Stegostoma tigrinum: one gene and its partner. The protein of the gene in region 1 interacts with the protein of each later gene in a pairwise test. Links are inferred from orthologs where the notes say so. Each region holds a gene or a part of one and is shown in the gene's direction. Other genes may lie near its edges.

Region 1 (7,611 bases):
CGGGAGAATGGAAAACTAAATATTAATGAAATGAAATTAAGTAATAAAAAGATGTTAATGCAAGCAAATGAGCCTCTCGCTGCTCATTAGTGAGACTTTGTCGCACTATTTAACACCTATCCGCTAAAAATCGAGCAGAAGATTCTACAGTAAACCAGGAGGAAGTTCTCCTAATTCATCTTTCAACCAACACCACAAACAAGGAACTGCTAATTAACTTACTTCCTTTGCAACTTTACTCTGCATAATTTTCTTGCTGTATTTATCTACTCTGACAGTGAAAGAATTTGCACTTATAGCAGACAGACACATCTTCAGAATGGCTGAAAGTATCTTGTAGCTCATTCATTATTCGGGAAGTATAGTCTGTTTGATCATAGGAACTTACAACACAGAAGGAAGCCATTTGGCCTGTCCTTGAAAGAGCAGACATTTTTAAACCCCCATGTTTTTTTTAAAATCCCATAACCCTTATTTATCCTCTAGTATGGTTATATTTATATTTATTTATGAATCAGCTTCCATCACCTGCGGAGGTAGAGCATTCCAGACACTGAAAACTAAAAGAAAAATCCACATCTTCGCTCTTCTTACCGCAATAACTTTAAATCTATTACCTCCAATTGTTGAGTCTAGAGAGTTTTGTCTCTATCAAAATAACTGATCATCCAGAAAACCTCAGCCTCATCCCACACCCTTGACCTGTCCCTCCTCCCTGGACTGACCTCCCTAACTCCCCACCTATGCTCACCTTTACTGGCTCCATCCCTACCTCTTTGACCTGTCTGTCTCCTCTCCACCTATCTTCCCCCTCCATGCACCTCTCCCTCTCTCCCTATTTATTTCAGAACCCCGTTCCCTCCCCCATTTCTGAAAAACGGACTAGGCCTGAAACGTCAGCTTCGTTGCTCCTCTGATGCTGCTTGGCCTGCTGTGTTCATCCAGCTCTAATCTTGTTATCTCAGATTCTCCAGCATCTGCAGTTCTTACTATCTTTGAAATATATATTTGGGGTTTTTGCTGTTGAAGAATAAACATTGATCACTACATTTGGGAACACAACTATGTTTTCTTTTACCATGAGCTATTTTAGCTCCAGCTGAAAGATCTCACTCGAAAATGAACATTTCCAATCATGTGATGATCATTTAATAGCGCACTGAATTGTCAGTCTAGAAAATGAAAATGTGGCATTTAAAGTTGCCACTTAAGAGGTTATGCCACAGCTGTACAAAACTCTGGTGCGGCTGCACTTGGAGTATTGTGTACAGTTCTGGTCACCGCATTATAAGAAGGATGTGGAAGCTTTGGAAAGGGTGCAGAGGAGATTTACTAGGATGTTGCCTGGTATGGAGGGAAGGTCTTACGAGGAAACGCTGAGGCACTTGAGGCTGTTTTCATTAGAGAGAAGAAGGTTCAGAGGTGACTTAATTGAAACATATAAAATAATCAGAGAGTTAGATAGGGTGGATAGGGAAAGCCGTTTTCCTAGGATGGTGACAGCGAGCACGAGGGGGCATAGCTTTAAATTGAGTGGTGAAAGATATAGGACAGATATCAGAGGTAGTTTCTTTACTCAGAGAGTAGTAAGGGAATGGAACGCTTTGCCTGCAACAGTAGTAGATTTGCCAACTTTAGGTACATTTAAGCCGTCATTGGATAAGCATATGGATGTACATGGAATAGTGTAGGTTAGATGGGCTTCAGATTGGTATGACACGTCGGCACAACATCGAGGGCCGAAGGGCCTGTACTGTGCTGTAATGTTCTATGTTCCTTACTTGCAGATCAGAATGTTATCATTCAGCCAAACAGGCACTTGTTTGCCCAAAGTAATTGTTTGTACTTCTTTAGGATTTTTAGGGTAAATTTCTTTGGGCCAGCAAAGCATTCCAAAGGAGAAAGCCAGGGGCTATGGGGTTAATTTATGCCAGTGCAAAATACTGCTGCAGCTGGGAACCTGATACAGAAATACAAAATGCACAAAATACTGAGGAGTCGAGAAATCTGCGGGCATTTTGCATTGAAAAGCTTTAATCGGAATTTGTGAATTAGCTTCTAATTGCTCAGTAAAGTAGTGCCACAGACACATCTGTGTTTTAAACATCTTTAGTCCAAATACATGTAAACCATTTTCATCTTTATACAATATTACAAGGAATGCAATAAAAATGTAATAATCGTTGGTCTATAAATACATGTCAAATGAACTATAGTGTATGGGAAAGGTAATGAACATTATATTGATTTCAGATTTCCTGGATATAAAAGGAATCTGGCAAGTAAATGTCTGTATTCCTAAAATTAAAAGATTTGCTTTTCCACTTTCCTTTCAAATTGATGGATGCTTCAAATCCTGGGCAGTTTAAAATTGGCTCAGTGGCAGGACACACAGGGTGCTGATTGAAGGTTGTTCTTACAACTGAATGTCTCGTCCAGTGACATACCACAGGTTAGTTTGCATTAATGATTTAGTCATGGATGTTGGTGATTTAATCAGTTTGTAGGTAACAAAAAAAAACAAGTGTTGTAAACAGTGAGGACAAAAACTTTAGACTGTGGGAAGATATGGTTGGTTTCCTCAAATGGCTAAAAGTTAGAAACTGGGTTTAATGCCAAAAAGCATGTCACATGTATTTTGGGAAGAACAGCAAGGTAAAGGAGTACATGATGAAGTAGGCCTGTGCATGTTCATAGGTCCTTGAAGGCAACAATACAGATGGATAGGATAGTTAAGGCGGCATATGGGATTCTTGCCTTTATTGAGTGAGGTAGTGAATACAAGAACAAGGAGGTTTTGATGGAGCTGTGTCAGATGCAGGTTAGACCATAGCTGGAATTGTATCTCTGGAATCATAGAAATGTATAGCACGGAAACAAATGTATCAGTCTAACTTGTCCACGCCAACCAGATATCCTAAATTAATCTAGTCCCATTTGTCAGCATTTTGCCCATATCCCTCTAAATCCTTCCTATTCTTATATCCATCCAGATGTCTTTTAAATGTCATAATTGTACCAGCCTCCACCATTTCCACCGACAACTCATTCATTTTGCTTGGAGCAGAGAAGGCTGATGCAGGACCTGGTTGAAGTATACAAATTATGGAGGGCACAGGTGGGGTCAATAGGAATATATTTTCCCCCTTAATACAAGAAACACAAATTTAGGGTAAGGGCAGGAGCTTTAAAAGAGATCTAAGCAGAAGATTTTGTCACGCAGAGGGAAATTGAGTATTTGGAACTCTGGCTGAAAGGCGGTGGCCAACATTTAAGATGTGTTTAGATGTACACTTGAAGTGTCACAGCATACAAGGCTACGGACCAAGTGCTGAGAATTAGGACGAAAGTAGACAGGTGCCTGACGAACCTACATCGATACAATGAGCCAAAGGGCGTCCTACTATGCTGTAAAACTCTATGACTGTATTTCCACATATAAATGATAACCGAAGCAAACTTTACCATTTTTAACATCTAAACTAGGATGCAACTCACATTAAGTGTTACAGCGTAGACGGAGACCATTCGATCCATTTTGCCTGCACCAACTCATCAAACAGGCATCATTTTCTTAGTACCAGTCACCTATTTTTACTCCTCTCATACTCTTGCACGTTATTTTTACCCAAGTATTCGTCCAAAACACTACAGGCAGAATTTCTGGCCCAATCCGGTCGTCAAGTCAGAGGCTCGGTGTGTTTTGGACAGTTTGCTATGGAGTTATCTCGGATTAGGATTTAGTCCCACCATCCAGTAAATTTGCTAATTTGGTGGTGGATGAGGATGAGGCACTTACCTTGGCGGTGAGAGAGCACCGAGCTGGCTGTCAGGGTAAAAGCCTCCTCGGGCCCGGTCAGCCACAACAAGAGAACAAGGGCGAGGAAGGCGGCGCTGGCGCTCGGCACCCGGGCCCTGACTCGGGCCACCCCGAGGCCGGCCCGCACCCAGTCGCCGCAGCGTCCCATCCCAACCCCCGGCGGGTCGGAGAAGAAAATGTCTTGATTATTGTCGCCGCGACATCATGATGATGATAATAATAATATCGGGGTGGGTGTGGAGTTCCTCCGAAGACCTTCTTACTCGGTGCCCGATCACCGGCCTCCCTCTTCGTTGGCTCTTTACCGGGGTGGAGACACCCACCACACCCCTGAGATACACCCCACAACAGGACCGAGCATCGCTGACTGGCGTCGAGCAGAGAGGGAGGGAGACTTGAAGGAGTGAAGGGCGGTGTTGTCTTTACTACAGCCACGTTATGGCGGATCTGATTATATTAAAACAAAACCTCCGTGCAAGGTTACGGATTGTATGACAGTGGAGACGGTGCGTTTTATTTCAGCCCGCTTTCAAACCCGTGAGGAAAGACATAATGTCCGCGCGCCCAACGCAATGGAGGAGAGAATCGAAAGAAAAGAGAAGCGGGGATACGAGGTACGCATAGTGATGGTGGCTGAAGCGAAATGGCCGCGTTTCCATCGCGACCGGCCCGGAACCATCAACAAGGCGCTACATTCCCTCCATTGTTCTACCCGAACGGTTTACCGCGTTACGCTGGACGCATCAGTGCGCCGCCTTGTCTTTAAATAGCGCGACGTGGAGGCAGACATTTAAACATAAAGCCTCGGCCGCGAATCGGCGGATAGAGGCCAGCCCCGTTCTTTCGTAATCATCGTTTTTTTTTAAATTTCGTTTTGACAATCCTATGTAAAGCAGAGGGGAAGGGGTCGTCGGCGGTGTCCACCTGTAATATCTGCGTAACAATTTGAGAACTCGGGCGGGATCGTGGCGATTGGAGTCGAGGCCCTTTTTTTTGAATTAAAACATTTCCGGCGCGAGTTGCGCAAGGCGCCAAATTAAGTGGTTGAGTCCGGCGGGGCTCCGCGCAGGCGTGTTTCGCAGGCAGTCAGAGGTCGGTGAAGATGGCGTCGACGGGTAAGAGGGAGTCTCTAACTGTTGGCATCGGATTTAAAGGCGCTCGGGTCGTATGCCCGGTTACCCCACCCACCCCCGGACGATAACGGTTCTTTTCTGCTTTCGACCTCACCACCGGTGTTATTTTATTTTCTGAAAAGGGTTGTTGGTCGCCGGCGATTACATCGAGTTTTTTTTCTTTCTTCTCCCCACACCCCCCCCCCCCCCCCCCACTTAAGATACCATCTAGGAGGCGTTTTTTTTAGAAAAGATTGGAAGAGGGTTTAGGCCTCAGTCCCCGATATCGCGTGTCGGGTGATTTTTTTTTGTTGGTGGTGGGGGGGGGGAGTGGTGAGGGAGGGTGAAGAAAAGGGAGGCTGGTGGATTGGCCGGCCTTGTAGCCGTTGGGGCCTCGGGATGTGTGTGTGTGTGAGAGCGAGAGCGCACCTCCCCCGCAGGAACGTAGCTGCGCCACAAAGCTGCGGGGGTCAACGTGTGAAAGCCGACGACGAAGCCGGGCCCGCTCCGCTAGTGTTGACCGGCTGCCACTGCCGCCACGCTCCCTCGCCCTTGGGAGACTCCGAGGCGGAGTTTTCACCGACGGGGCGGAAGTGTGTCCCTTTCCTGGCGATCCGTTAGCGTCGAGGCCTAGTCGGGGTGGGGAAAGGAGAAGAGGGCGAGGGTCAGCCAGTACAACGTTTCGTAACAAATACTTTGCGTAGAGATTCATCTCCCCAGTCCTCTATACGTATTTTCGAATCTGGTGTGATTAAATTGATTTTTTTTTAAAAACTGCACCATTTGGGATTTTGCAACTTTTGAAAAGTCGGTTCGATTTTTTTTCCACCCCACCAAAATCGCGCAACACTTGCTACGAACCGATCGGCTCTTTATATCGGCGTGGCTCATTTTACATTTTTAAAGAATGTTTTTAACTGTTGGCACTGTGCCAAAATGGAGTCGCGCATAGGATCTGAAATTTCTTTTTGTTTGACGGTACTGTGGGGACCGCGTGTGACTTAGTTCAAATTGATTCTGTAACTTTTGGATGCAGCAAGGTTTAATTTTTGGGTTCATATACGTTACCCTCTGGTAGCGTACCAAAGGTTAATCGTGAACTCTCTAATGTCCTAATGATTTTAGTGGGAACTCAACATTTGCATGTTTCCGGTTAAAGAACATGGGGTGACTTTCGTCGTCCTCTTCAATATCTTTTACTGGTATTGAAAATCGCTGGCCATTGTGTGACTTTTTCTTTTTTTTAATAAATTTGAAGTCTTGACTGTGGTATATTTTTACATTCATATCCGGGATTTGGTATTAAAAAAAGTCAAGTTTGTACGTTCACTGCTGAATAAAGCCTACATAAAACAATTCAAACGTTTAGCCCAGTAATGCTCCTAAAATTACTTACACCTCGCATCCTAAAAATTGAGCCTTTTGATTCTTTGTGTCGTTTGTTGAGACCTGCTAATTTAAACTTTTAAGGGTCAGTCTCCTGTCATCTGTGGCATTGACCATGGGTGTCTAGTGTTCATCAATAAACTGGGAAGGGCTGCAGTGGAGAACGAGGAAGCCTTTATTATCGATAGTTATTCTACTTGGGACTTGGGTACAGAATTGAGGGTTCTTATGGGAAAGGAAAAATAGACTTTAAGCTGTTACTGAAATTGGTTATTAGTTTAAACTGACCTTTAAACTATTTTGGTTGTAATCATTCAATGAATGCAGGATTGACCGAATTAGAGCTTTACTGGACCTGTGGATGGCAGCTTCTCATCCTAGAAGTCAAAATTAGAAAAACCTCAGTAAAAGCTACATATGTTGTGTCCACAGTTAACCAGGTTTCTGGAGTGGGCCCAAAACTAAATGAGATGTATAACTGTGGTTGGTTGGAGGCATAAATTTTCTTTGAAAAGCTGTCTATACTAATATTTCAACAGGTGAAAGTTGAGGAAGGGGAAAGGATTCTATAGGCTTCATAAGACATGGGAGTGGAAGTAAAGCGATTCGGCCCATCGAGTCCATTCTGCCATTTAATCATGTCTGGGCGTTTCAACTCCACTTCCCTGCACTCACCCTGTAGCCCTTAATTCCTTTGTGAGATCAAGAATTTATCGATCTCTGCCTTGAAGACATTTAACGTCCCGGCCTCCAGTGCACTCGGTGGCAGTGAATTCCACATGCCCACCACTTTCTGGCTGAAGAAATGTCTCCTCATTGCTGTTTTAAATCTACCCCCTCTAATTCTAAGGCTGTGCCCACAGGTGCTCGTCTCCCCGCCTAACGGAAACAACTTCCCAGCATCCATCCTTTCTAAGCCATACATTATCTTGAGTTTCTATTAGATCTCCCCTCAACCTTCTAAACTCTAATGAATACAATCCCAGGATCCTCAGCCATTCATTGTATGTTAAACCTACCTAATAATTAATAGTTGCATCTCATTTCAAATATATTCATTGGTAAAGGAGTAAGGAGAGGATTTTGATACATGTAAGTTTCTATGCTTACGAGCTTTTGTGTGTCTTGGATGTAGGAGGAATTGCTAACAAGTACAAATGCAGCAATACAGTTTTGGAAGTTGATTTGGGGCTTAAATTCTTAATCAAAGCAATGTTGCAATATACATATACAATGGGTTTTTATGCTGACTTTTTTCTCTTGTAACATTCAAATGCATACAAATGTGCACAC
Region 2 (7,380 bases), about 9.2 Mb from region 1:
GATTAGAAGCATTTAGTGAATCTGAGTTCTTTGTATGATTGTGTTAATTTGTATGAAAGGTGTTATATCCCCACATACACCTTACATATATATTAAATTGAATTAAAAAGACTACAAACATATCATATTCAACGTATCTATTATTTTCCCTTTAAATGGGGCTCCATCTTCCTGTTACTGCAGAAAACTGGTGCCAACAGCAGGACTGACATGGTCCCATCATTTATAAGATAATAAAATGTGAGGCTGGATGAACACAGCAGGCCAAGCAGCATCTCAGGAGCACAAAAGCTGACGTTTCGGGCCTAGACCCTTCATCAGAGAGGGGGATGGGGGGAGGGAACTGGAATAAATAGGGAGAGAGGGGGAGGCGGACCGAGGATGGAGAGTAAAGAAGATAGGTGGAGAGGGTGTAGGTGGGGAGGTAGGGAGGGGATAGGTCAGTCCAGGGAAGACGGACAGGTCAAGGAGGTGGGATGAGGTTAGTAGGTAGCTGGGGGTGCGGCTTGGGGTGGGAGGAAGGGATGGGTGAGAGGAAGAACCGGTTAGGGAGGCAGAGACAGGTTGGACTGGTTTTGGGATGATTGGGGAAACCAAGCGGAGGCTTGGGGACCGCTTTGCAGAACACCTCCGCTCAGTTCGCAACAAACAACTGCACCTCCCAGTCGCAAACCATTTCCACTCCCCCTCCCATTCTCTTGATGACATGTCCATCATGGGCCTCCTGCACTGCCACAATGATGCCACCCGAAGGTTGCAGGAACAGCAACTCATATTCCGCCTGGGAACCCTGCAGCCATATGGTATCAATGTGGACTTCACCAGTTTCAAAATCTCCCCTTCCCCTACTGCATCCCTAAACCAGCCCAGTTCATCCCCTTCCCCCACTGCACCACACAACCAGCCCAGCTCTTCCCCCCCACCCACTGCATCCCAAAACCAGTCCAACCTGTCTCTGCCTCCCTAACCGGTTCTTCCTCTCACCCATCCCTTCCTCCCACCCCAAGCCACACCCCCAGCTACCTACTAACCTCATCCCACCTCCTTGACCTGTCCGTCTTCCCTGGACTGACCTATCCCCTCCCTACCTCCCCACCTACACCCTCTCCACCTATCTTCTTTACTCTCCATCCTCGGTCCGCCTCCCCCTCTCTCCCTATTTATTCCAATTCCCTCCCCCCATCCCCCTCTCTGATGAAGGGTCTAGGCCCGAAACGTCAGCTTTTGTGCTCCTGAGATGCTGCTTGGCCTGCTGTGTTCATCCAGCCTCACATTTTATTATCTTGGAATCTCCAGCATCTGCAGTTCCCATTATCTCTGGTCCCATCATTTGTTTGGTATGGCAAAAAAGTAGTAACAAAAGGAAGGCAGTGCCAGATGGAAACAAAAACAATAAAACAAGCAAGCCTGACGTACTTGTGTACTTCCAAATGGGAGTCCAATAAATTCAATTCCAGGCATTATTGTTGTTTTTAAACTGTATGTTCCCTCAGCTAGTGTCAATTTCTTTTATTCAATAAAAGGATGCAGACATCACCAGCTGGGGCAGCACTTATTGCCATCCCTGGTTGATGCTGACAAGGAAGTTATCTTCCCAAACCCCTCCAGTCCATTTGGTACACCAACAGTGCTGTTTGGGAAGGAATTTGACTCAGAAGGTATAGAAACACATTACCAATTTTGAGTGGCAAGTAGCTCAGAGGAAAACATACAGGTGGTAGTGTTTCTATATCGCTGCTGTCCTCCTCCTACAGTGGTCATAGGTGTGGAATGTACAGTGTTATCTGCAGTGCATCTTGTACACAGTACTGCTTGCTACTGAATGACAATGATGAGGGGAGTAGATGCAATGCCATTCAAACAGGGAATTTTGTCCTGGATGGTGTGCAGCATCTCAAATGTTGCTGGAGCTATATCCATCTGAGCATGTGGGAGTATTTCATCACACTGTAATCCACAAGCACCAACAGCCTCCACCACCGATGCTCAGTAGCAGCAGTGTGTACTATCTACAAGATGCCCTGAAGAAGGTCAAAGATCTTGAGACAGCACCTTCCAAACCCAAAACCACTTCTACCTAGGAAGACAAGAGCAGCAGATACATACAAGCCACACTCCATTCTGAGCTGGAAATAAAATCACCATTCCTTCACTGTTGCTGAGTCAAAATCCTGGAATTCCCTCCCTAATGGCATTGTTGGCCAACTGACAGAGCAACAGTGGTTCAGAAGGCAATTCATCGCCACCTTCTCAAGGGCAACGAAGGCATGCAATAAATGCTAGTCAGCCAGCGACGCTCATATCCCACAAAACAATAAAATGTGAGGCTGGATGAACACAGCAGGCCATGCAGCATCTCAGGAGCACAAAAGCTTTTGTGCTCCTGAGATGCTGCTTGGCCTGCTGTGTTCATCCAGCCTCACATTTTATTATCTTGGAATTCTCCAGCATCTGCAGTTCCCATTATCTTTCATATCCCACAAAACGATGTTTTTTAAGAAAATCTCCATTCTTGTGGACGGTGAACGACGGGGCCTACGGTGAGGACTGATGTCAACACATCTTTCATTAACATACACGTCAATGTTAACACACCTCTCCTTCTCGTCTCTCCCCCCCCAACTTATTAGTTCTTCCTCTTCAGACAGCGCTCACCCATCACTGTCTGCACTGGAGTAGCTCCGCCTTCTCCATAACCAAGCGGCAGCCGGTACTCGGCAGCCGCGCCCCTTTGCAGCCGCCCGGAGAAAAACCGCCAACATCCGACCCCTCGCGCTCGCGCCGCCGTCAGGCCACCGGAACCCTATCACCCCATTGGCCAGTGCACGGAACAACCACCCCGCTCCCTTCCCGGCTTCTCCGTCTCCCATTGGTCGGTTAGGCTCGTCCCGTCGATCAGCCGGGCCGTGTTCATTGGCTCCGAAACAAAGAGTCCATCCTTTGATTGGTCGTGACTCTCCAAGAGCTCGGTGTTTGGCTGGAGGTGCTGCCCCGGCCGTGATGCGTTGGAGCGGCGTCCGATTAACAGGGGATCTCGCTCCCTCGTTGGTGCGTGGTGACCGGAGCGCTGCCATTTGATTGGCTGGGTTGGAATGAGGCACCGCCTCCTGAGGGTGGTGCTTTGGTGGCGAGGCGGCAGCTGTGGTGTCGTTGGATGGGTCTTTAAAATATTTTTGGTGTTCGACATCAATGTCAATAATTTGGACAATTTCCACCTCTTCTCACCTCTCGCTCTCTCTTTTGATAGTAGAATGAAACGTTTCATTAAACAGCAGAAAATGCTGGAAACACGCAGCTGCTCCTGAAGCTTCCAGGTAATGGACCCTTCTTCATCGGAATCAAAATCAAGCGAAGCCATTGCATTTGGGTTGTGGTCAGGATAAAATAAGAAGTTAGGATTTGTGAGTGCCACAGCTTCATTAACGTTCAAAGATGTTGCCTATGATGTGGTGTGCAACACCCTGGCTTTCAGGGTGAATATCAAATAAGGCGTCCACGGAGTGCCGCAGCGCGAAACGTGCATCCTTGTGGATACAAAAGGATCCCAAAGCACTACTTCGAAGGAAAAAAACATGTGGGACTTCTCTGACAAATACTTATCCCTCAACCAACATCACTTAAAAGCAAAATACTTTAGATGTTGGATAGCTGAAATATAATCAGAAAGTGTTGGACAAACTCAACTGGCTTGGCAGCATCCGTGGAGACAAAGCTAGTGTTTTGAGTCTAGTATTTTCTTCAGGAATTCCCTTAAAAGAGCAGAATCTTGCTGATGCCCACAGAACATTCTGCATATAGATATGTGTGTGCATTCTACGTTACACTTCAACAGGTGTCATAGGTAGCAAAGTGCTTTGGAACATCCTGAAAAGTGATATAAATGCATGTTTGCTGAGTTCTGAGGAATTGTCACTTGACCTGAGATGTTAACTCTGATTTCTCTCTGTAGATGCCATGAGACCTGCTGAGCATATCCAGCAATTTCTATTTTTGTTTCAAGTTTGGTAGGCAATTTTAAAAGAAGCAAACATCTCAGAAATCATCAGAAATTCTTGTAGCTCACGATGGATGGATAATAAATTGTGCTGCTGGAATTCAAAACAACACATATATGTATATTCTATGAATGTTGGATTGTAGTATATTTTACTAATGATAAATCTTTTTTTAAGGCTTCTGTAATAACTTCATTGCCATATCATTTTGACTCTGATTTTAGGATCCTAATCAAGAAGTAAATACATTTGTGTCTTTCAGGGTACACTTCACAATGGCAAACAAGACATTTATTATATCTGCTCCTGGGAAGTTGATATTGCATGGAGAACATGCAGTGGTGCATGGGAAGGTAATCTGGCATGTAACTGAAGGAAAAACGAGCATTGCATTTTGTATATGAAAGAGAGAATCTCAGGTTTGATTTGGGCTAGTTTGACTTCAATCAGTTCAGCACATCAAGAAGCACAAATGGTGTGGAAAAAACCGCAACGGCAATTACAGGTAGCAAGGGAATCTATCTGAATTTGTCCATGAAGTTGCTGATTTATAAAGAGAATAAACAGTTGATAACATCCTCAGTTAGATGGCTTGAATTTTCACATTCACGTTGTATAGATCACCAAGTTTAGATCAAGATTACATCTTATTACAAAAGCAACTGGTTACTTCTTGCATAATTCCAGTGCTCTGGCTTCAGCTGCTCTTCTTGATAGAGGTATCTAGCAGTTAATCACTGCATAAGGAAAGACTTCCTAGCACCTGGCCAAGAAATACCCATCACGTTTCTGTACCATATCTGAAACAGGTCTTTTTTGTAGTAATCCTGGGGATTAACCTCAATTGTGTAGCTCAAGGTGAGTAGGAGATTGCAGGAACTATGTCCTTTCCCAATGACATCTACTTGAGGTGAGTATACATGAGGTGAGCCTGGAATGCAGGACTTCTTGCCTTGATATTTGAGAGTAGAGGCCTGATGTAGAGTCTGGGCTGAATTTAGTTATAAACACTCTGTAAAGTCTTCTTTTTAATGTTACCTTCTGACAGCAAGGATCATTCTCATTGCTCATATTTGTATTGACCCAGTGTTCTGAAAAATTGTCATTGTTGGGTGGTGGCCACATGCTCTGTGCAGGAGTCCAAATATGAGTTAGAAGTTTTAATTTGACAATATAACCCTGTTTACTTTGCTTATCACATCTAGAGATGCCAGTAAACAAGAAGGCAACCCACGCTTTTAAGATCTATTTCACCGCACCCTTTGTGAAGCTCTGTCCCATGAGGGATTATATGTGCCACCAGTTCAAAGATGGCTCCTCATTTGAGTTTACCAGTGTGATGCTATCTCTGCTGTGTCCTTCCTGAGACTGTGATTCCTTCTTATTTTGTATCTGAACAAATTAGAGGTCTCGCAACACAAATCTTTAGGATGCAGCACAGTTTGTTTTCTTGCGCATATGCCATTTCAACCCAGCTAGTTTTTGGTTCTTTTATGCAACTAATTGCTAGTCTAGCAACTTTTGATAACTAATTTTAGTTTATAAAGGAGGGTTGTGAGGTATTTTTCGAAAGCCAGGGGTCATGTATAGTTCACACAACAGGTTGATTTAAAAAAAACCTGCTGGAAAAGCTCAGTGGGCCGGGCAGCATCTATGAAGTCAGAAGCAGATATAATGCTGAAGATCACAGGGACACACCCTGCTTTGTTTTCTTTCACTCATACTATAGTAACCTTGCTTCCTTTGTGACTAATTTTAAGTTTGAATGTTCATTTGATTTAATTCAGTTGGCATAAAATGTCATAGAGTCAGGTGAAATGGTAATTCTTCAACCGTGGTAAATCATTTGTTCAATCTGTAGTCACTCTCCTATATTCAGTTTTTATTAATGAACTGTACAGTGTTTTATTTTTCCTTTTTTTTGTTCCTTTGGCAAACTAGGTGTTAAGGCAAATGGCAATCAGCATCTTTAAAACTAAATGCTTTTGTTTGGTATTATTGTAGCAGACAGAAATCATTTTATTTTCTTCTGCAGTTGGAACACAATGTATTATTTTTGAAACTCTCAGCTGCTAATGCTAAATATTTTTGTATTTGTAGGTAGCTCTGGCAGTCAGCTTAAACTTGAAAACATATCTCCGGCTGCAACCTTGTGCTGATCAAAAAGTGCAATTAATCTTACCAAATATTAATGTCCATCTTAGTTGGAAATCTGCTGCCCTGCAGTTTCTGCAGTCAGCAATTGATGGTAAGATGCACACAAATGAACAAAATTATAATTAATAAAGCACATTGTACCTGCAAGCTCTTTTAGAGACATTAATTCATAAGACAATTAGCATAAAAGATGGGGCAGCCAGTAGAAGCACCATGTTGGGACACAGATTCTTGCACCAGTGGGATCTGGATCTAAGACAAGCTGCTGTTTTGAGGTGGATGAATAGATACGTGATTATTGTATGCAGGAAATATTCCAGAAGATATTCTTATTTTTTTGATGGTCAGATCAAAATAACACTCGCAGCAAGTTGGGTACAGGAAACTGGGAATAAAAAGTGAAGAAATATTGGGAGAAAAATTTGCAACATTCAAACATGATTTAACCGAATATTCTGGAACATGGCTTTGTGTTAATCCACATGGCATTGTAGTTTTGCATGTTACATGAGAAATCCCAAATGTACTGCTTGGGGCATGGATGGAGAAATTGATGGAAGATGCCTATTTCTGCCTGAATGTAATTAAAAGACAAAGGGGCATTTTTTTAAAAACCAAAAGAACTGCAATGCTGTAAATCAGGAACAGAAACAGAAGTTGCTGGAAAAGCTGAACGGGTCTGGCAGCTCCTGTGAAGAGAAGTCAGAATTAATGTTTCGGGTCCGGTGACCCTTCCTCAGGACTGGGCATTTATGTCTGTTTCTCACAGGAATAAATTAAGTAGGCTGTTCAGTTTTTTGAGCCTGGCCTTCCAATCCATAAGATCATTTTGATTTGCTTGTCAATCTAAAATCTATCTAACTCCACTTTGAATAAAATTAATGACCTGGCCTCCATTGTTTTCTGAAGAAGAGAATTCCACAAAATAATGACATTCTGAAAGAAAAGTAGCTGCGCCAATTTCTTATAGGAGACATGTTACTTACTCAGATCGCTGTAGCACCAACATCTGCCACCTCTCTCCATTTGAACAGTAGACTGATTTTTCTATTGTTCCTGCCAAAATGAACAAATTCACATCAACCCACATGTCCCATCTGCCTAATTTTAGCTCACATACTTGATCTTTCTATTGTCAATTGCAGGCTGTCTTCCCATTGACAACTTACTTTTCTGTCTATCTTGGCGTTATCAGCAAATTTAGCCATTATACATTCAGTCCCTTCAT

What was found.
Region 2: the proteins of RNA-binding protein EWS-like (region 1) and mvk interact in a two-hybrid assay, tested with the Homo sapiens proteins (2 studies listed by BioGRID and IntAct). The two-hybrid records come from large-scale screens. The link is inferred for Stegostoma tigrinum from reciprocal best matches to the Homo sapiens genes EWSR1 and MVK.

What each region holds. Positions count from the first base shown.
Region 1 is NC_081379.1:21,259,517-21,267,127, reverse strand, and holds the start of RNA-binding protein EWS-like, read left to right. Parts: upstream 1-4,591; 5' UTR 4,592-4,922; coding exon 4,923-4,935; intron 4,936-7,611. Other genes in the region: rhbdd3 (rhomboid domain-containing protein 3), read right to left, coding at 3,800-3,968. UniProt on the Homo sapiens protein: Binds to ssRNA containing the consensus sequence 5'-AGGUAA-3'. Might normally function as a transcriptional repressor. EWS-fusion-proteins (EFPS) may play a role in the tumorigenic process.
Region 2 is NC_081379.1:12,065,814-12,073,193, forward strand, and holds the start of mvk (mevalonate kinase), read left to right. Parts: upstream 1-4,359; 5' UTR 4,360-4,395; coding exon 4,396-4,500; intron 4,501-6,095; coding exon 6,096-6,243; intron 6,244-7,138; exon of another isoform or gene 7,139-7,208; intron 7,209-7,380. Other genes in the region: mmab (corrinoid adenosyltransferase), read right to left, coding at 2,656-3,074. UniProt on the Homo sapiens protein: Catalyzes the phosphorylation of mevalonate to mevalonate 5-phosphate, a key step in isoprenoid and cholesterol biosynthesis.